3 linked regions of the Notamacropus eugenii genome follow. The protein of the gene in region 3 purifies or fractionates together with the protein of the main gene of each other region. This does not show direct contact. Links are inferred from orthologs where the notes say so. Each region holds a gene or a part of one and is shown on either strand. Other genes may lie near its edges.

Region 1 (7,838 bases), about 82 Mb from region 3:
GCTCAGGAGAGAAACTAGGGTTGGTCATAGAGATCTGGGATTCATCTGTATAGTGTCAAGATATTGGGAGATACCCTGTTTTCCAGGGCTAAAGCCCAGCAAGTAGTCTGTGCTTCAAGCTTGACATGACAACAATCCTTTGCGTTCACCCTCTGGCAAAATCACAAAATTGTTGTATTGCTTTCACCAAAACCAGGTGTTCTCTGAGTTTGGATAAGCATCCAACTTCTGGTCATGAAGCCCTACTATGAATCAAACTTGTCTCTCTGCTATTACCCCTCATTGTCCGCACATTGATGTAAGGATTGAGATCTTCCCACAATATGTTGTATCCCTCCACTAGGGGGTGGAGGAGGGGGATGGGGCACCCTTGTTTACAAGCTGCGTGCTTCACTTTGAAATTAAACTTCTGTTTGATTCCTGACTTTCCTTTCTCTAGCCTGCTCTGTTCAACTCTGAATATCCCTAAGTTAGAGGTCAGTTTGGTTCACTTAACAGTAGAAATGATCAATAAATCCACAAGAATAAATGACATAATTGAACAAGAATTGGTATGGAGGGAGAAGAAAGCTAATAGAAAGCCTTTGGGTATGCTCCATCATGGGGAGGGACAACTGAAAAGGAGCAACCAGACAGAGAAATAAGAGGGAGAAGTATAATGAAAACTCAGTCAACCCCTCTTATAAGTATGAGTTGTAAGAATCCAATGCATCAAAATGAGAAATAGACCTTTACCTTTAGCAGGTTTGTATCTGAGATTAAAAGGCTGATTTTGCCAGATATAGGAAACCAGCAGAGGTGCATACTGGGTCGTTATTGCTTGGATATAGTTGTGCAGGACCTCTTTATGTTTTTCTGGATCTCTTGGTTCTTCTGGTAACAAAAACAGATGATATTCCACTGCATCTTCTGCCACTGATAGCTTCATGTTCCCCTCCATTCTTGTTCTTGGAAAGCTGTATTTCAAAATTGGAATAAAATGAATCACACAAGTTACTTTGTAACTGGTATCCCTATTTCTTAAAATCTTCACGATATACTTTCAAAGTGCAGCTTAAATGTCACATTCTTCATGCAATCTCCTCTGAAATTCTTCCTGCTTTTGAATTCTCATTTCACCTTGCAGCTCCTCCATGTATTTTTGGCCTCTTTGTACAACATCTGTAAGTCTTCACTGACATAAAAAAGTAAGACAAATTCAAGTAACAAGTATTATAGTCCGTGGTTCCTTCCTTTAAAGCGCTTATAGAACCTTTAAAGAAAAGAATCACACTTTTTTTCATTTTTGCAGCCTTTCAGGGTCTTGCACATATTAAGTTCTGAATAAATCTTGGAGGAATTACACTGGGAGAAGCAAGGTGAAAATGAAAAACTGCAATAGATTTGAATTTCGGGTTACCCGTGTGACCTCGGACAAATGACTTAATTTCCTTTAGTTTGCTTATGATGTGAACCTCCTCCCTCCCCAAGAGGCAGCTACACAGAGCAGAGGACAGAATACTGGATCGGAGTTCAAATCCTACCCTCAAGCGGAGTTACTAGCGAACGATCCTTAACAAAACACTTAACAACTATGTGCTTCAGTTTCTGCCTCCATAAAACAGGGATAATAATACCAACACCTATTTCCCAGGATGACTGTGGGGATAAAATGAGATATTTTTCGTAATGCACTTTGGAAACCTATAAATTAGCTATTATTCTATCATAACCCAGAGAAGCCCTCCGCTTACCATTCTCTGACCCACAATGCCTATTTTTTTAAAAAAATTCCCCGCAATTGTCTACATAATAGGAGTCTTTAAATCGCGGCTCGAGAAGCCAGAGGAGGCGACCCCGGATGCCGAAGCGGGCAGGGTGAAGGCACCACGAGGCGGGGGGTGCAACGGTAAAGGCCAGCAGATCCCCCCCCACCTTCGAGCGGCTCAAACAGAGGGGCCCAAGGCAGGCCCCCGGGGGGGGGGGGGGCGGCCCCGTCACGGGATGACGTCAGACACCCCGGGATTCCCCCCGAGGGGGCGGGGCTGCCGAAGGCGCGCGTCCCGCTCCGAGGTCCTCAACGGTAAAATGGGGGCACAAGCGGGGGCAGTTAGGAGGCCGGTGGCGCCGGGACCAGAGCGCCCCGGAAAGGCTGCTCAGTCCTGCGGCCCCCCCACGGCCTCCCGGCCACGGCGGCAGGGGCTGGGCCCGTTTCCCCCGCAGCCCGGCTGCCATTTCGCGCCACCCGCCCGCCGCCCGCACGCACCCGGCTCAGGCAGCCGCTCGCAGGCAAGGTGTCCGGGGCCCGGCGGCCCCACGCCCGCCCCCCGGGGCCCGCCAGGGAGGTGCTAGCAGCGCCGAGGACAGGAGCGGGGTCGCCGCCGCCGCTCCGCTGACGTCACTGCCGTGCGCCGCGCGCCGCCACTTCCGGTGCTGCCGGAGAGGGAGGCGGGAGTAGAGGACCGTCGGTCGTCAAGGCGACGGGGCGGGACGGGGGCTAGGGAGTGGCGGGAGGGGGTCGGGGCGGGGCCGGCCGGGGCGGAGCCGGGCGGAGGGACAGGTCCGGAAATTCCCACCTCGGGCTCCCCTCCGCGGTGGCACCTGAGGAGAAGGAAGATGATCTCCAGATACACCCGGAAGGCGGCGCCGCAGAGCGTGGAGCTGTGAGTGCCTTCCTGCCGCCCCTAGCCCGGAGAGGAGAGGGAGCGGGGCCTTCCCTGGGGACGGGGAAGAGAGCGTGCTCCCCGGGGGGCCTGGGTCCCGTCCGTCCCGTCACCCCCGCCCCGCGCGAGGCATACCTGAGGGTCCGTGCGCTGCCCAGAGGGCTGCTCGGAAACGACCCAGAGCCGAGCAGTTATCGCGATAATTGTAGCGAGCGTCGTGGGGAGGTCGGTCGTGGGCCAGTACAAACGTACGGAATAAAAGAACCCCTGCCTGCAGGAAGCCGAGCACCTAGATAAATGTGCCAGGCATAAAGTGAATCAGTGAAAAGATACCCAAAAGAACTGTCTGTCGGGAGGATCCATGCGGAAGATGATGCAGCTTAGACAGGGAGCCCAAGGAAGGCGCACATTTGGCACGTGGGCCGGCTGGCTTCTTTGTTTTTAACATTTCACAGCTGTCAGTACAGAACCCAGGGCTGTACTTCTGTTCACCTTTTCTCTCTACTTGATAGATCTGCCTCCTTTTGCAAAAAACCGTTTCTTTGGTGTCTACATCACTTTTTTCAAGAAACTCGCTCAGACCCATTGTGTTTCTGTACCATTTCTTCCCCGTCTGGAGAGAAAATCATTGGAATTTGGATTTGGAATCCTTGGATTTGCCTAGTACAAGGCAGGGTTGCTAATATTTCTCCAACCAGATTTCTACCTTGCGTGTGTTAAGATCCTATAATATTCCTTGATACATGCAATTAAAGAGATACATTTGTTCCCTGATGCTCTGATCAGCAAGCAGAGGTGTTTTGCACTGTTGTGGAAAGTGTAGAGTCCAAAGGGACTCTAGAGGAGGGATTCCTTATAAGTACAAAGGTCCTCAAAGTGATTGTGTTTGTGTTTGACATTATACTGATGATATCAAGCCCCAGAATACTCATGACTTTCTGAAAAAGACCCGCAGCCACTGGGAAGAGAAAAGTCTATGAAGCTATACAGGAAACGGTTGTGTGCACGTACACACACTTCCAAGATTATGAAATGCGGTTGAATCCACAATCCCTTGATAGATATATTTTGCACAGACACTGCATGTGGACAGTTATGTAGGTCCCATAAATAGAATAAGTTAGGATTGCATTAAGTTTATCAATTCTGCAGTAGCTGCTTCCTGACACAAAAAAACAGCTTTCCAATACCAGGATCTTCCTGGTGATGTTACACAGTTGCAAATCACTGAGTGCTGGTTAGTATGAAACTAACAAAAGCAGAGTCTGTTTCAGAGCCACAACTTAATGCCCAAAATGTGGCTAGCGATTTTTCGGTTCAGTTGCCATAAGAGGTACTTGTTGAGAAGAATTTAGATGCAAGCTCATTCCTCACTGCTGAAAAAAAAACAAGTAAAAGCAAATTCACTGCTCACTGTGGGTTTGTGACTTGATCTTTATATACAAAAGGTGATACTTTATAAGCACTATCAACATGCTTTTGTCTGATTTAGGGAGGTAATTTTCTTGCTTTTCTCTACCATTGGAGCCTAAATAAGGAATCTCATCAGACTTTGAGATACAGAACTTAATCTAAATTATTCTCCATGCCATTTTATAGCAGATACCATAATCCTTCAAAACATGCTAGATGGCCTCTAATATTAAAACACCAAGGTTTTGATCCTCTAGGGTATTTGAAGTGAGTCCTTTTTAGGTGGAAATCATAAGCATAATTTAATCCAAAGTTCATTCTTGTGTAAGTGAATGATTAACTTTAAACAAATACTTGAGAAATGTCCTTTTTTTTAACAGCTAATATAATATTGTTTTACCCTTTGTAGGAGAGGAATTGCCAAAAATGTTCTTGATCATCATCCTCTTCCAGATCAGCTGGATGAAATTACCCCTAGTAATGACAGCCGTGAAAAAGACTCAAGTTATCAGAGGTAAAAATGCTAGGTGTACCATTTTTTTAGATCTTCTACAGATGGAAGTTTTGTTAAGTTTGGAAGTTAGCAACATAATAAATTACATATATACAGTTTGTGTAGCACTGTATAGTTGCAGAGTGTTTTGTGTAAATGTGTTATGGTGTCTCATTTAATCTTTTTTTAAACAAAAACATACATTTTATTGTATTGTTTATTATAATTAACTTGTGTTCACTTTTTTCAAGTCTGTGTATGTAAGGCTGTGTGACCTTTTCTTTTTTTTTAACATTTAGTTTTCATTTTCTTTCCTGAATTACCTGTATACAAAAATTTTTAACGTTTATTTTTTAAACTTTTGAGTTCCAAATTCTCACCTTCCCTACAGGCAAGCAGTTTGACATAGGTTGTACATATGTAGTCATACAAAACATTTCCACACTAGCCATGTTGCAAAAGAAAATGCATAAACATGCAAAAATATTAATAAAATTGAAAAAGTATGCTTTAATCATCATTCAGACTCATTTCTTTCTCTGGAGTAGATATCATTTTTCATCATAAGTCTTTGGAAATTGTCTTGGTTCACTGCATTGCTGAGAATAGCTAACTTATTCACAGTTGATTATCTTACAATATTTCTGTTACTTTGTACAATTTTCTCTTGTTCTGTTCATTTCACTTTGCATCAGTTCATATAAGCCTTCCTAAGTTTTTCTGAAACCATCCTGCTCATCATTTCTTATAGCACAATAGTATTCCATCATAATCACGTGCTACAACTTATTCAGCCATTCCCCAGTAGATGGACAGCCCCTCAGTTTCCAATTCTTTGCCACAGTAAAAAGAGTTGCTATAAAATATGTTAGTACATATAGGTCCTTTTCCTTTTTTTTAAACTCTCTTTGGAATACAGACCTAGTAATGGTATTGCTGGATCAAAGGGTATGCACAGTTTTATAGCCCTTGGGCATAGTTCCAAATTGCTCTCCAGAATGGTTGGATCAGTTCCCATTCCTAACAGTAGATTAATATCCAGGTTTTCCCACATCCCCTCCAACATTTATCATTTTCCTTTTTTGTTATAGGTGTGAGATTGTACCTCAAAGTTGTTTTAATTTGCATGTCTCTAATCAATAGTGATTCAGAGCTTTTTTTCATGTAACTATAAATTGTTTTCATTTCTTTGTCTGCAAACTGCCTGTTCATATCCTTTGACCATTTAGCAATTGGGTGATGACTTGTGTTTTTATAAATTTGATTCGGTTATCTATATAGATATTTGAGAAATGGGGCCTTTATCAGGGAAACATGTTTGTAAATTTTTTCACCAGCTTTATTCCCTTAGGCTCTCATTTGCTCATGATGAAATTGTTTTATGCCAGATGTTTAAAAAAAGTGAGAGAATATTTAGAGAGTTGATGAGCTTCAGCAGTTATAATATTTGAAAATTAGAGTATTAATTATATTAATTTGAGTTCCATTTATCTATGTATTATTGTTACATTATAGTTATATTGAGTGCTGGTTACCATGGCACCCTGAAATGCCCTATAACTATTCAAATTGTACATTTCAGAAATTCCCTATTATATCCCTGTGCACATTTGTATACAAATTTTTTATAGTTTAATTTTCAAAACTTAAAAATATCTAAGAATTTTTCCTTTTTTTTCCCCTCTCCTCCTCAAATTGTGGATTTAGTGAATCTGACATCACACAAGAATCACCTTTTACATCAACTGACACTGGCAATTCCAGATCTGCCTTTCTGAGTTATGCTGATACAGGGATCTCTACTGAAGGCAGCTCAGACTTCTCCTGGGGATATGATGTGAGTTACATATAATTGGTCTGGTAGAATATTTTGTAAGGTAGGACCTAAAACTGAAAGTCAGAATTTACCAGCCTCTTCCCACTTTTCTACCTGTATTGCTACATTAAAATAATACTATCATGTAGTTGTATTTAGAAAGTAGCATTTTGTAATACTGCTTAGTACATAGTACCCCTAGTTTTCATCTACTGTGAGTTAAGAAAGTTAGCATTACCCTTTTACAGATATGGAAGTTTAAGCACAGATTCAAGCTGAATTGTTTATTTGTGAAATAGGGACAGGCACTCCCAGTTCTTTGGGTACTTACTGGGAAAGCCCAGGATGGCAACAGGAAGGGGGAAGTGGGGCTGCAGTCGTACTTTAATAAGGTACAGAGACAAGCAGTGAAAGGGGTACAGCAGCAGATGGTGTGGGGACAGGAAACAAGCAGCGTGGGAGAAAGGATGGGGAGGAGGAGACAGAATTATCACTCATGTAACCATAGATCTTAGTTGGGAGCACTAGGCAGCATGCTCCCAATGAAAGACAGAAGAGTACTTTGGTTGAGTCTGAGGAGCAGGACTTGGAGATCTCAAGCAGCGTGTTAGTAGATTTGGCCTATTGTTTGACCCATCTAGGTACTTTTGGATCCTGAATCTCATCCAACATATCATTTATACAACCAGCCATTGATTAAAATGTTAACTAGCTCAGGACCAAGATGAGATCCCTGATTCACTCCACTGGAGATAGTAACCTATTAATGACTTTATTTGAGGTCTAGATCTAGGTAACTATAACATCATCTAGCCCCTATCCCTCCGTCTTTTCAAGAAGGATAATATGAGAAACTTTATCAAATGCTACCTGAAATCTCTTTATACCAGTATATAATATTCCCTTTATCTACTAATTAGCAAGTTTTTCAAGAAGGAAATTAAGCTGTGCTGGCATTACCTATTCTTAATGAAGTCATGCTGGCTCTTAGTGATCATCTTTTTCTAGATGCTAACAAACTAGATCTTTAACAGCGTACTGTAGAATTTTGCCAGGAACCAAAGCCAAGCTAATGGATTTAAAAATTTCAGACTGTGTCCTGTTCACTTTTTAAAAAATTGGGGCATCATTTGCCTTTTTTGGTCCTGCAACAGCCCTCTAACTCTTCATGATTTATCACATTTAATGAACAGTAAGTCAGCAGTCACATGCACCAGTTCTTTTAATACCCTGGGGTATTATTTATTTAGAACTGGTCATTTGAATGCATTGAAGGCAAATAGTTGATCAATTATCATTTTTTCACTTATCTTAACCATTTTTATTCTTATCTTTCCCAAAGATCATTCTCTGTAGCAAAGAAAATTGAAGTAAAATTTGAGTAGTTATGCCCCTCTCATCCAATAAATCATCCTATTCACTCTGAGCAGAGATTGTGTTCTTTCTTTTTTCTTCTTCTGGTATATTTTATCTT
Region 2 (6,143 bases), on a different chromosome or scaffold from region 3:
AGGGATGGGCTAATATTCACTGACCAAGTGGCAGGAAACCCTGGCCCCATGAGTCAGGGATTTACTCAGAGAGCAGACCTTCTCTCTGGGTTTCAAGGACCCTGAAAGTGCAAAGTGTGTGTTGGGGGAGAGACAGGAGGGTGGAGGGTGGCGGGTGGCCAATCAAAAGCACCATGGCCTATCCCACAACCAGTCCCTCTTTCGCTCCATCGCAGGTAGCTGCCCAGCATCTGGGTCCAAGACAGGCCCAAAGTCCCCTTCGGGGAAACACCTGCCTGGGGCCACACTCGTGGAGGGCAGGGATCTCCTTATTTTGGGAATAGAGAGGGATGCTCCGAGTCCTGGGTGAACCCCAATGCCAGTGCTAAGGGTACCTTCTATCCCTGTGCCATCAACCCAGGACAAACTAGGGAGCCCAGACGTAAGGAAAGTGGCAGAGGTCTGTACCTCAGGGTAAAGTGGGTGGGCCCAGCGGCCAGGTGGGCAGGCAGGGAGACACCCGGGAGGCTCAGACTTCAGGGAAACCCTTTATTGTCTTCACAAGGTCAAACCAAGTCAGCGGGGTTGGGCGCCTGGTGTGGTCAGGGCCACCAGTGCCAGCAGGAGGGCACGCTCCCTTCCGCTGGTTACCACCCCATGACGCCTTCCCCAACCACACCGGAGGGCGTGGGGGGATGGGGCGGCCGGCCAAGCTGCCCCGGGCAGGTCTTCCATGCGGGGTGGCGAGCTCCGGGGCACCAAGGGCGCTGGGTAGGCTGCAGGGCCGCGCTCAGGGCTCCTCGCTCTCCTCCTCCGCCGGCCCCTTCAGCCGCAGGTGCTCCCTGCTCCTCTTCTTGCTGCCGTGGAAGCCCACGGCCCCGGCGGGGCCCGCCCCGTCCTCCCGCATGTCGGCCTCCTGGGGCTCCGCCGGCGTCCTCGGGGGCTCCTCGCCGTCGCCCTCGCCGTCGGGGCCCCCGCCCGAGCCCAGGTGGCCCAGCGCCACCAGCTCCTCCCCGGGCTCCCTCCACTGCGGCCGCTTGCGCTCGCCGGCCTTGGCCGGCTTGGTGAACACGATCCTGCCGGCCCCGCGGCTCGAGGGGTCCTGGTTGAAGGAGGGGGCGCAGCTTTCTGGGGGCGCGGAGCTCTGGCCGCCTGCCCTCCTCTTCAGGTCCCCCAGGAGCTCGAGGGCCACGGCGCGGTTGCTGCGGTCGCTGCCCTCGGGGACGTCCTCCAGGCTGTACTTGGTCCAGCGCTCAGGATGGGTCACGTAGTCGGGGACCGGGCTGGGGCCGGGCCTGGCAGGCCCGGGGCGGGGCAGGGGCCGCTTGAAAGGGTCGGGGTCGGCCTCCGCGGGGGTCCCGGGGGCGGGGGCCCGAGCCGCCCCCTCCAGGCCCTCAAATATGCTGCGGCTGCGCAGCGAGAAGGTGGGGCTCATGCCCCGCAGGTGGAAGGGGCGCACGGGGCCCTCGGGGGCCTGCGGGGGCTCGGCGGGGGGCTCGTCGTCCTCCGAGGCCGCTGCCTCCTCCAGGCACGGCGGCTCCCCCGGGGACAGCCCGGCCTCCTGCCCGTCCCAGTCCGAGTCCGAGTCGCTGAGCGAGCCCGTGTCCGAGGTGACTTCGCAGTCGGGTGGCCCTGGCCAGGCATCGCCCCCGCCTCTGTCCGCCATGGCCCGGCTCCACGGGGGCTGGCGCCTGGCCTCAATGTCCCCAGGCCGTAGTGCGGGGGCCGGGGAGGCCGGGGGGTCAGAGTCTGCGCAGACGGGGAAACTGAGGCTGGGAACGGAAGCCCCAAGCAGGGTCAGTCATGGGGGAGGGGCAGAAACTGGGACTCGGGGTCACTGCTCCCAGCCCCACCTCTCACAGAGGGGGACGCCGAGGCGGGGCTGCGCCGACCTGGGCCCAAACCCCGAGACCTGCCTCGGGTAGAGCGAAGCTCCCCGGAACGGTAGTCACCATCTTGGGCCTCGAAGATGAGACGGCCCCGCCTCCCGCCCGCACGGCTTTCTGGGAAGCCGAGTCCCCGCACTCCATCGTGGCAGGAGGCTAGGCCAAAAGAAAACGACAACCCCCACAATGCAACGCGATGACGTCACAGTCAGGGGACCGAGCGCGCCGAAGAAAACCTCTGCACGTGACCTTCTGAGAATGAGGCCGGGATCTCGCGCCTGCGCCGTGGCCTCCCGGAAGGCCTGTCCTCGCGCGGTTTTTCGGATAACTGCTTTTCGGCGTGGGTTGAAGGGGGAGGGGGTGGGATGAGCGGAGGACGCTCACAATGCCTCGCGGGGCAGGGCGGTGAGGGGCGTGGCGACGCTGCCTGGGTGGAGGCGTGTAACAGCGTCGCCTGCCGGAGCCTCCCAGCGCCGCACGCCCTAGTGGTGCGGGGCCCCGGAAGGCATATATATGGCGGGGGGGAGGGAGGTTCCGCCCTCCCCACTTCCCTTCCTCCCTCCTCCCTGGAGAAGCCACCCCACCTAGTGCGGGGCTGAGTGACTCCTGATGCTCTTGTTTTCAAATGAGGAAACTGAGGTCTGGGGGGAGGGTGGGGACTGGGGGGAGTCTGGGAGCCCACCCGGATGTTTCGCCTTTGCGAGTGACGTCACCCGTCGTCTGAGCGTCGGGAGGGGAGCCGGCGAGAGCACACACCCTGCGACGCAGCCAGGCTTGGGAGGGGGCAGCCCCCACCCCCGCCCCAGGGCTGCGCGGAGGAGCGAGGAAGGGTGGGGACCCATGTCCCGCCTTGCTCATGGGGCATTCGAGGCCCCATCCCCCTACAGGAGCCCTTGCCCCCGGTGGCTGAGTCCTTGTTTATTCAATTTGCTGCCTTTCGTGCCAACCCCGTCACACAGTAGGCATCTCGGGAACGCGCGCAGCTCGGCCCCCTCCCCCTCCCCTGTCTGGCCGGGCGGGGCTGGGAGAGCGGGGGGAGGAGGCGGGACTTGCCGAGGCTCCCCTCTCCCCATTGGCTGGAGGGCCGCTCCTCGCTACATTGTTGCCTCGTCTTTCCTGCCCAGACGCCGCCGCCGGGTGGGGGCCTGCGTAGCCTGGAGGAGCCTGGGGGGATGGGCGGGAAGAGGCGTCCTTTCCCGGGGTGCTGAAAGAGGGGCCCCGGGACCGGTTTCCGCTCTAGTACTTCCATCGTCCAGTACCTACTGCGTGCCAGCCCTAGACCCCGGGAGCGGCCCACAGACCACCCTGGCTCCCATCCTGGGCCCCCTCTCCAGCTCCAGGCGGCCCGGCCTGGGGCTCCCTGCCCAAGCTGGCCCTGGCATTCAAAGCCTTCCCAACCCCTTTCGGGCCTCGCTCTAGTGCCCGAGGGCCCCCTCCCGCCTCTGGGGGCCCTGTCTGGAGGAGTTTGCCCCCGGGCGCTCGTGTTTAGGGGTACGTGGGTGGCCCCCGCTGGCAAAGCTGCCCTCCGTGCCTCGGCTTCCACCTCTGTAAGATGGGGGTCCTGGACCCCAAGGCCCTTTCTGGCCGAGCCTGGGGTTGTCTTGGCAGAGACGCTGGAGGGGTTCGCCATAGGCCGGGAGGGTCACCCGGCTAGGACAGGTCTGGGGTCAGCTTTGACGGCCCTCCTGACGCTGGCGCCCCGAGCTGCCCGGGGAGGCCGGACTCCAGGAGCCCAGGAAGGGGCTTCAGCCCTCCGCGGTCACTGCGTCCTGTGGGAGGTGGCCGCAGGGCCGGTCAGAGGAAGGCCGGCCGGGCCGAGCCCCCCAAAAAAGAGCCGCAGATTCACGGATCAGAGCACTTGCTTTATTGGATACATGGATTGAAAAGGGGCCGCGTGGGGCAGACAGGCAAACGGACAAGGGGGGACCCTCAGGCCATGCTGTCCCCCCGAGGCCCTGAGCGAAGCAGGGAGGGGGTGGGGCTCCCAGGCTGGGGCAGAGGCAGCAGAGACTGCCTGAGAGGTGTGAGAGGCGCTCCTTCCTGCCAACGAGAGGCATGCGGTTCTGTCGGTCAGTGCCCTCCCAGCCCCGTCTTTGGGGCCACCTGGGGATGGCAGGGGAGGGTTCTGGGGGCCAGGGTTGGGGTACAGGGCCAGCACTGAACTAACCGGGGGGCACTTCCTCCTGGGGGCAGGAGGCTGGAGGGATTTATCTCCCTCTTCGTGCAGGTAGCCCAGGACACCCCCCAGCCTCACGGCAGTTGGGATGGTGCCCACCTCCTGCCATGCTGCTCTGTGCAGGCCGGCGGTCCATCCTAGAGCCTGGGCTCCAGACCTGGGCAGATGCCCAGGAGACAGGGAGATGGTGGTTAAACCCAGGTGTCAAAGGCCTCTCCTTCCACACGTCACATGAGACACCTCCTGGCCCAGCCAGGCTCCCTTCTATGGGAATGCCCCACAGGATGCCCAGCTGCCCACAGAACATAAACACGGAACTCCAAGGCCTGACTGCTGCCTCTAGGCCAAATAACAAGTCCTGGAAAGACATGAAGCCTGGGCCCAGAACATACTCGAGTACATGCAACATCTATGTAAGCACACATACGTGCATGGCCAGTGCACTATGGAAGAGACAGGCCCCAGGAGCTCTGCCCCCTCCCCCCAACATAGGGCATTCTGGGTAGTGTTCCTTTAAGGCTTTCTAAGGTTCAATCACCCACTTCCCATTGCCCACTCTGGGGGGGCCTCCCCTCTGAACAGCCCAGGACCATGGGGGAAGTCCCAGGCAGGAGAGCCGGGTGCTGGTGAAGTGGACCGAGCCTTGTGGCCAAAGATGGTCTTCTATGTCCACAGGCCAAGGTGGCCATTGGCAGTGTTGACTGCCAGGAGGGTGAGAGACAGCTCCCCTCAGCCCAGGCCACTCTGGGGAGGGCAGGAGAGCCAGCTGGCCCAGGCCTCTCTCAGCCTCCACAGGACAGGTCAATTTTCCTCAGAACTGAAGGCCCCCTCCGGAACCCCCTGCCCAGCCCCAGGGGGTCTCCTGCCAAGCAGGGCTCACAGGGAAGGGTCCACACCAGTCTGGATGTTCTTTCCTTTTTATTGAAGTGAGCTGGTTTGGGCCTGTCTTGGACAGCCAAGTTATGGTCTAAGGGGCCAAAGTCAGACATACAAGGCCAGAAAGTGTGAGAACGTCAGAAATGCTCGAGAAAAGTAGATGCAGGAGAAAAGAATGCAGATTGGTTAAAAAAAAAAAAAAGGCTGCAGCTGCAGGAGGGAGGGTGCCTCCCAAGGCTCTCTCCTTCCCCACTCAGAAGGCAGGACCAGCAGGGCCTCCTCCCCTGCCCTACCTCCATGCCCGGGAGGGCCCCACTGAGCCGTGGCCTCAGCCCAGGAGACCCCCTCCAAGGCCCTGGCTACACAAGACCTAGGTGTAGCCAGAGGCACAGAAATGAGTCTGGTAACTTTATTTCAAAAATAAAAACATCCCCTCCCCCACCCCCATGCCCCAACCCTCCAAAGTAAAAATGCTAATAAGTACTGCACGGTAATATCTGAGACATTTCTATACATAATTCTCTGGATTTCTCTCAGACGTCTCCTGGTCACTCGACGACAGTTGCGGGGCTCCTCTCCTGCCTGCCCACACCTCAGAACAGCCCCAGGGGCGGTCCTCAGTACACGGAGCTATTCCGAATACCGCAACACAGGACCATGCTGAGAATCATCTCAAAAATCTGCAGGGAAAGGGGGAGCGCGTTAAAGATGGGGCTACGTCCTCCCCATCTCTCCTTATCCAGGCTAACTGCTCCTCATGCGACACAGGGCCTACCCTGGTCACCCCTCCTCCAGACTCCCTACAGCTTAGCAAATGCGGCCCCCAGAAATGATCACTGTCCTCTGGGTGAGATCTGACTGGGGCCAAGCATAGGGGAACAATCACCTCCCTCCCTCGTCCTGCTCTCAAGGCAGCCCCAGATCAAATTAGCGTTTGTGGAGCTTGTGGCCCATTCAGACCCCCCAGATCTCTTTCTGGACAACAGCTGCCTAACTGCCCCATAGCTTTTTGGTCCTTAATGCCAGACTTTGTATCCATCCTAGGCTGCCCAGCTCATTGCTAGCACTTCTCCTCTCCCCCACCCCCAGATTGGTGTCATCTGTTCCTGTCCATGTCATGGATTCAATTAGAGAAAGCAAAGGCCCTTGGGGACTGCCATCGACTTGGGATTCCACCATCAATGAACAATCATCCAGCTTATCTACAAGTGCTGCCCTGCCAGCCT
Region 3 (7,553 bases):
ATCCAGGTTCTTTGCTTCTGTCTCCTAGAGTATAGAATCTTGAGTCTCTAAATTTTGGTGGGGAGTGCTGGGACAACAGAAGTGAAACTTGAAATTTCTGATACGTTTATTTTTATTTCTCTTTTACATTTATTTATATAGGGATTCAGTTTTCAAAGTTACTTCTACGAACATATTTAATTTTATCAATGTAAGCTACTCAATGAAAGCTCCTTGAGGGGCTGGGACTGTTTCATTTTTGTCTTTGTATACCAAATACCCAACATAACATACATGGTAAACACTTAATTGCTTGTTAATTGAGTCTCATAAGGACCCAGTAAGGTAGAAAGTACAGCCAACATCATCTCTCTTTTACAGAGTAGTGCGTTAGATCCAGATGGGGGTAAGGACAAGTGAGGGTGAACACAATGTGTATGTTAGTAATGTAATTGGTACCTTTAAACCCAGATCATCTGGTTCTAAGTCTGGTATAATTTCTATTCTACAAATCTGTCTCTTAAAAAAAAATATCTTGTTTTTAATATCTTTTATATTTATACCAGCCAAATGGCACAGTGATAAGAGTACTGGACTTAAAGTCAGGAAGATCTGAGATCAAATTCTGCCTCATACATTTAATTAGCTATGTGATACTGGATAAGTCACTTAACTTCTCTCAGCCTCAGTTTCCTCATCTGTAAAACAGGGATAATAATAGCACCTATACCCCACGACTGTTGTGAGGATTGAGCAAGACAAAATATGTAAAAATGTTTTGCAAACCTTAAAGCACTAAATAAATGCTAGTTTATACACCCATACACATACAAACATATAATGTTCTTTTAGTCTTACAAAGTTGTTAAAAGAAATGGGGAAAGTAGCTCATCAAAATAGTTGTATCCATTGGTTCTGAAAAATGTGTAACATTCCACGTTCTCTCATCTACGGTCTCCCATCTTTTAACCATATTGCCCTTACATAAAAGTCTGATTGAATTTTTGGATGCTATGAGACTTGAAAGGTTATTTATAAGTTTCATTCAACTAGGGTCAACTAGTTTCCTTCATCTCAGCTTACTGACACCGCCGTTACCCTGGTAATCAAAGGCCACATGAGGGTGCAAGGTAGCACAACAGATAGGGCCCTTGGCCTGGAGTCAGTAAGTTTACTTCAAATCTAGACTCAGACACTTACTAAGGCGTGTGAGCCTGGGCAAGTGAGTTAACCTGTTTGCTTCAGTTTTCTCAACTGCAAAACGAGGATAACAACAGCACATACCTTGTAGGGTTTTGGTGGGGATCAAATGAGACAATATTTGTGAGGTGCTTACCAAAGTGCCTGGCACATAGTAGAAGCTATATAAATACTCATTCCCCCCAATCATGTCATGTCTGAGCAAAAGTCACAAGTCTCTCCCCACTACACTCCATCCTCGACTCAGCTGACAAACATATTTTTCTAAAACACAAACCTGTCCATGTTACCATGCTACCCATTCCCTATCCCTTCTCCCACCCCCATCCCACTTTCAATCAACTCCAATGGACCCCAATCACCTTTAAATATAAAATCCTCTGTTTAGCACTCAAAGTCCTTTATAACCTGGCCCCTTTTACCTTTCCAGTCCCCACCACATATTTCACTATTCAATAACACCAGCCTCCTTGATGTTCCACTCACAAGGTACTCCATTTCCCAATTCTGTGCATTTTCATTGGCTATCCCCTATGCCGGTATTCTCTTTCTTCATCTCTGCCTCCTGGCTTTCTTCAAGTCCCAGCTAAAATCCTACCCTGTGCAAGAAGACTTTTATAAAACCTGGAAAGCCTTAGCATGAACTGATTCTAAGTGAAATGAGCTGAACTTGGACAACATTGTGAACAGTAGCAGCAATACTGTGTGCTCATAAACTATGTTAAACTTGGCTCTTCTTAGCAATTCAGTGATCCAAGAGAATTCCAAAAGACTCAAGATGGAAAATGCTATCCACATTCAGAGAAAGAAGTGATGGAATCTGAATGTAGACTGAAGCACACTATTTTCACTTGTGTGTGTGTGTGTGTGTGTGTGTGTGTTTTCCTTTTGCTCTGTTTCTTCTTTCATAACGTGACATATTGAATACGTTTAAAATGCATAATTTATATCGGATAGCTTGTCATCTTGCGGTGGGGGGAGAAGAAGGAGGAAAAACTGGAACTCAAAATCCCATTAAAAATGAATGTTTAAAACTATTGGAAATTGGACAAAATAAAATGCTATTTACATTAAAACATAAAAATAAGACTTTTCTAATCCTTCTTCACAATAGAGCCTTCCTTCTAAGATTATCATCAATTTATGCTGCATATAGCTTGTTTGTACAACGTTGTTGCATTCTTATTAGACCATGAGCAGCAAGCTTGGCTCCCAACTATCCCCCGGCTTTTTCTTAAATTCTGAGCCCAGGAGGCCCCTCCCACTTGTGTGGATGGTTTCAAAGGCTGTTCCTCAGGAAGCACCCCCAAGATCCCATGGGCTCGGCATACTCCTGGCCTCTGCCTGAACACTTCCAGAACAACGGAGCTCACTCTCCCTCCCGAGGCCCCATTTCTTTCTTGAACGGCTGGAACCGTCATAGTTTCCTGACATCAAGCCTGCATCTGCCTTTGTGCTTTGTCCCGGGGCCACTCTGCGAACAGAGACAGACGCTGGAAAGCCCAGCTCCGACGACTGAAGAAGTCGGGGACGTCTTGTCCACCCAGAGCGGGCCCCGCGCCTGGCCTACCTGCTCAAAGCTGGTTCCTCGTCACTGGGCTCTTCAACTACATACGGGTCATCATTTTCAGAAAGCCAGCTCATGATGAGCGGGACCCACGGCCCAGCACAGCCCTTCTGAACGAATCCACGGAGTCACCAGATTGGAGTGGTACTTTCAAAGGGAAGCAGCGAGATGCACTTCCGCTTCCTTGCTACTGCGCCTGCGCTGATAGGTCCCTGGAAGGAACGCCAGGAACAGGGAGGGAGAGGCGGGGCTTGGCTAGGCAGGGCGGGGAGGGGAGGTGGCAAATAGTGGAGCGTCAGGGTCTTGCTACAGTAGCTGCAGAGTTACAGCTGCAGCCCTTGAAGAGGGCTGTTTTTATTTTCTTTAATATTTCATATTTTTCCATTATGTGTAAAAACGATTTTTAACATTCGGTTTTTTAATTCCAGATTCTTTCCCTCCTTCTCTCCCACCTTCTTTGAGAAAGCAAAAAAATTTTGTATATCCTTTAATATTCAGTTCGGGTATCAATTTTGAATTTGTTGTGCAAGATGGTCTAAGGTGTTGCTCTTAGCCTACTTTCTTTCCACCAGATTGAGTTCTGGTTTTCCCAGCAGGTCTTATAAAATAGAGACTTCTTTCCTACAGAATTTATTTTTTTGGATTTGTTAAACATCAGTGAGTGCTACTGTTTCTGATTCTTCCTTGTCTAATCAACTAATCTGTTTTTAACCAATATTAAGTGTTTTTGATCCCTGCCGCTTTATAAGATAGCTTATATTCTCTTCTTCTTCTTCTTCTTCTTCTTCTTCTTCTTCTTCTTCTTCTTCTTCTTCTTCTTCTTCTTCTTCTTCTTCTTCTTCTTCTTTTTACAATCTTTTAATTTTGTTCTTATATTTCTTAGTGTCCCATGGAACCACTGATTTCTGTTTGGTCTGTTTCAGTTTCAGAAATATGTTTTTTCTTCAGTAAGATTTACCATTTTCTCTTCTAATCTAATTTTAAATTGCTAGGTTAATTTTTTATTTCTATTCATCTAGTCCCTCAATTTCTTTCTTCTTATTTTATTATTATACAAACATTTCTAGTACTGTGCTTAATAGTAGTGGATGATAGTAAAGATCCTCTCTGATGGAATATGAAGACTTCCAAACTTTAATATAAACATATGCGTGTGTATTATGTATACACACGCATATGTATATATACACACATACATGCACATATTCTCTTAGCTCTAGAAAGATACTCTAATTCTACAAAAACCACATAAATACTAATAAAAATGTAAGTATTCATCTATTCCTTTTACACTATCAGTCTTGTTGGAATGGAGTTGGGCAAAATAACTTCTGGTCATTTCCTTTATTTCCTTTTCATTTGTTATAAATTCTTCTTTTTTCATTTTTGATATAAATGATCTTGTTTTCCACTCTAAAAAAATCAGACTAGTGTCTAGGTTTTTCAAAATGTATTAATTCAATGAGTTCAATACTTGTTTTTTGTTTTTTATTTATTAATATCATCTTTAATTTCAAGAATTTCTATTTTTATGTGGAATTGAGAGGTTCTGATATGTTGCCTTTGTAGTTGTTTGTTTGTTCTTTAGTTGTGTTCCCAATTTACTGTTTTGTGTGACACAGCCTTTCCCCTAAGGGTTGTCTTATCTGAATCCCACAAGTTTTAATATGTTGGGTTGTTTTTTTTTCTTTGAAGAAATTTTCTATCTCCATGATTTGTTCTTTAACCTCTCAATTCTTTAGGATTGCATGATTTAGTTTCCAATTAATTTTAAAATATTTTTTCAAAGCTCCTATTTTGAATTTAATTTTATTATATTGTTGTGGGTAATACCAGAAAGGGAAGATTTCAGAGAATTTGGAATACTATGAAATAACATGGGGTGATATGAGCAGAACCAGGAGAACAATTAATACAAGAATAACATTTTTAAAAAAAATCAACTTAGAACTCTGATCAAGCAATGAGCAATCATGTCTCCAGAGGACCTACCCATTTCTTGACAGAGAAATCAATGGACACAATGCAGAAACATATACTTTTGGATGCATTACTCAGTGAATTCATTTTTCCTGACTATGATTGTTGCAAGGGCTTTTCCGGGGTAGAGGGCGGGAGAAGGGAGGAGGGGGGAGGATGGAGAGGAGGATTAACAATAGTTGATGCCCCAACGTTGGTGGAGACATTTTAAACTCAAGTCAAATTCATTATCTTTCCCCTTAAATCTTCTTTCCTATTTACCTTTCCTATTACTGAAGAGTACAACACTATCCTCCCAGTCCCTCAGGCTCACAACCTGGGAATTATCTTGGACTCCTCACTATTTCCCATTCCCCAAAGTCAATCGATTGCCAAGGTCTATTGGTTTCACCTTTGCCATATCTTTCAAATATACCCTATTCTCTCCTCTGATACAGCCACCATTCTACTGCAGACCCTCATTACCTCATGCCTAGAGTATTGCAATAACCTTCTAATGAGTGTACCTGACTCCAGTATATCTTGAATTCAGTCACTAACATGATTTTTCTGGGCATTAGGCAGGAAGCCTATGACCACTAGGGACACTGAGCACCATGGGATCCTTCTTGCACTGATATAACAGATAACCACTTTTTAATTTCATACTTAGAAGCCTGGCATCCCTTGAAGTTGGCTGAAATTCTCAACTGCAGAGAACTGATAACACCTTGAATATTGATATTTTTATGTGATCAAGAAGAGTTTTGAGGGGAATAAAGTATGCCTCTTTGAAAGCAGACATCTTAGAAGATCTAAAAATTCTTTTTTTTGTGTATGTAGCCTGAGGAAAGAGAAATTATGGAAGAATGGCACTTAATAACCATTGTGGTCCTCAATGGATGAGATGTCTGGTGGCTAGTCTCTGAATTCTTACTCAAGGTCTGGAAAACTTCCTATGTTTAGAATTTATAAAGAGCAAAGGCACTGATGAGAAATTACTTTAAATTACTTTTTTAAAAAATTAATTTACCAGTCAAGCAATGGTACTTCAATAGGACTGATAAAAATTACAGTACTGGGGACTATATTATCCACCTCTTACAGGTTACCACAGTCTTTTTTTTTTCGTAGTAAACATATTTCCACATTAGTCATGTTGTGAAAGAAGAATCATTACAAAAGGGAAAAACCACAAGAAAGAAAAAAAAGTCAGACAGTAGTATGCTTGGATCTGCTTTCAAATTCCACAATTCTTTCTCTGGATGTAGATAGCATTTTTCATTATGAATCTTTTATTCAGTCTTTTATGTGCCTATTTTGCAGAATGTGGCAAGTAAAATGAGTATTAACAATAAATTTATTAACTAGGCTAGTCAATAATCAATAAATTGATGGTCAGTGGTTTCTGTTAGGTAACCAAAGATGCCAAGGGACAGTACCACATCAGTCTGTCTTCCTGAGAGCAAATTACTGGAAACTCCCTTGCCTAGAGAAAAGAAACCCCTGATTGGTAGACATTTGATGAGGAAATGGACTAAGAGCTTCATGGTCAAGGGGGGAGGTCAGCTGAGGAATGAGACTAGGTCATGAGTTTTGAGACCCCTCTACTAAACAGAACTTAGAGTCCCAGTTGGGCTGGGGCCAGAACTACCTAGTTAATGAGCAGATACCTTGAGAAAACACTTAATACATTTCCTTAGCTAGAATTGTTCAGGGGCTTCTCTTTAAACTAGTAGAAGAGATGGCCTTTTGACAGAAGAGACGTTATTACAAATTTATATTAATAATCAAATGACAGAATTAAAATTAATTTTCCTCACTACACACATCATAGGGCTATGAGAGTTATCAACAGAAGTTAATTACATGTGTACAACAGTTTTTATTGTCATTTTAATGATTTACTTACCTTCAGTTGTACTATACTGTTTTCATTAAAAAAAAAACAACCTTCAACCAAACTTGTGAGAGCTTTTCCAGGCCTTCTATTTCTTTCAAGAGCACTTCCAGGCCTTCTTCTGATTGAGTATGGATATTTTCAGTATGATTCTGTGAATCTCAACTTTGCACTGTGTTCTTGGTCTGTCTTGTGACTAAGACATCCTAGGATCATTGGCATTTTGTTTAGCCATAAATCATAAGCAGATGGAACTTTACCATTCTTTGCCATTCTTTTGCTAGACAAATGCTTGAAGAAAGATTTGAAAGGAAAGGGGTTGTTACTGCTCATTAAACTGATTTTTACAGTGGTTATTTCCTTTGCTCTTTGGTGGTTACAGTACTTTACAGAAGTGGAAGAAACTGCAAGTTTGTGTATTCTTTGAGGATAACATTGCCAATATTTGGTGTGGTTTCAATGTTCTTCTGAAGGTAAAAGATCTGCTCTCACCTTGCACCCTGTTGATGGTCAGCTTTGCTTTTACATTCATGAGCCTTCTTCCTGCCTGTATAAAATTAACCCTTCAGCCAAGTCTCAGAAGCTTTGAATATACTTTGTTAGCTGTGCATTGTCATTTTTTCTTATTCTCTTTCCAAGTACAGGAAAAATTCATTCTTTTGGTCTCATTATGAGTTTGCTTAATTCTAAATCTTTTATGTCAATATGGATTTTACTTGTATCCGCTTTTAGCATGCTTCTTCTTTTTTTGAAAGAGGGGGTAGTGATAGCCCCAGTTATGACCACATTAGCATTTTTAGTAGCCTGTATAACTTTAAAAATTTGAAAATGTACTTGAAAAAGAACTGCACTTAAAATAATTCTCTATTTCTGTTCGGAGGCACATCCCTGATTTTAAGGTTCTTGCAAAAGTGGTGAAAAGTTATTTTCTAATCTCAGTAATGAGAT

The links.
Region 1: the proteins of EAPP (region 3) and ECD purify together in Homo sapiens (affinity purification with mass spectrometry; 3 studies listed by BioGRID and IntAct, counting the BioPlex papers as one, with this or other methods). This does not show direct contact. The link is inferred for Notamacropus eugenii from reciprocal best matches to the Homo sapiens genes EAPP and ECD.
Region 2: the proteins of EAPP (region 3) and TSSC4 purify together in Homo sapiens (affinity purification with mass spectrometry; 3 studies listed by BioGRID and IntAct, counting the BioPlex papers as one, with this or other methods). This does not show direct contact. The link is inferred for Notamacropus eugenii from reciprocal best matches to the Homo sapiens genes EAPP and TSSC4.

Annotation. Positions count from the first base shown.
Region 1 is NC_092872.1:237,071,559-237,079,396, reverse strand, and holds the start of ECD (protein ecdysoneless homolog), read right to left. Parts: upstream 3,015-7,838; 5' UTR 2,778-3,014; intron 2,643-2,777; coding exon of another isoform or gene 2,596-2,642; exon of another isoform or gene 2,553-2,595; intron 2,378-2,552; exon of another isoform or gene 2,246-2,377; intron 957-2,245; 5' UTR 941-956; coding exon 736-940; intron 1-735. Other genes in the region: primary cilium assembly protein FAM149B1, read left to right, coding at 2,596-2,642, 4,465-4,569, 6,256-6,385. UniProt on the Homo sapiens protein: Regulator of p53/TP53 stability and function. Inhibits MDM2-mediated degradation of p53/TP53 possibly by cooperating in part with TXNIP. May be involved transcriptional regulation. In vitro has intrinsic transactivation activity enhanced by EP300.
Region 2 is NC_092873.1:25,467,681-25,473,823, forward strand, and holds TSSC4 (U5 small nuclear ribonucleoprotein TSSC4), read right to left. Parts: upstream 2,283-6,143; 5' UTR 1,646-2,282; coding exon 770-1,645; 3' UTR 515-769; downstream 1-514. Other genes in the region: CD81 antigen, read right to left, coding at 5,535-5,597. UniProt on the Homo sapiens protein: Protein associated with the U5 snRNP, during its maturation and its post-splicing recycling and which is required for spliceosomal tri-snRNP complex assembly in the nucleus.
Region 3 is NC_092872.1:319,045,294-319,052,846, forward strand, and holds the start of EAPP (E2F-associated phosphoprotein), read right to left. Parts: upstream 3,004-7,553; 5' UTR 2,824-3,003; coding exon 2,750-2,823; intron 1-2,749. UniProt on the Homo sapiens protein: May play an important role in the fine-tuning of both major E2F1 activities, the regulation of the cell-cycle and the induction of apoptosis. Promotes S-phase entry, and inhibits p14(ARP) expression.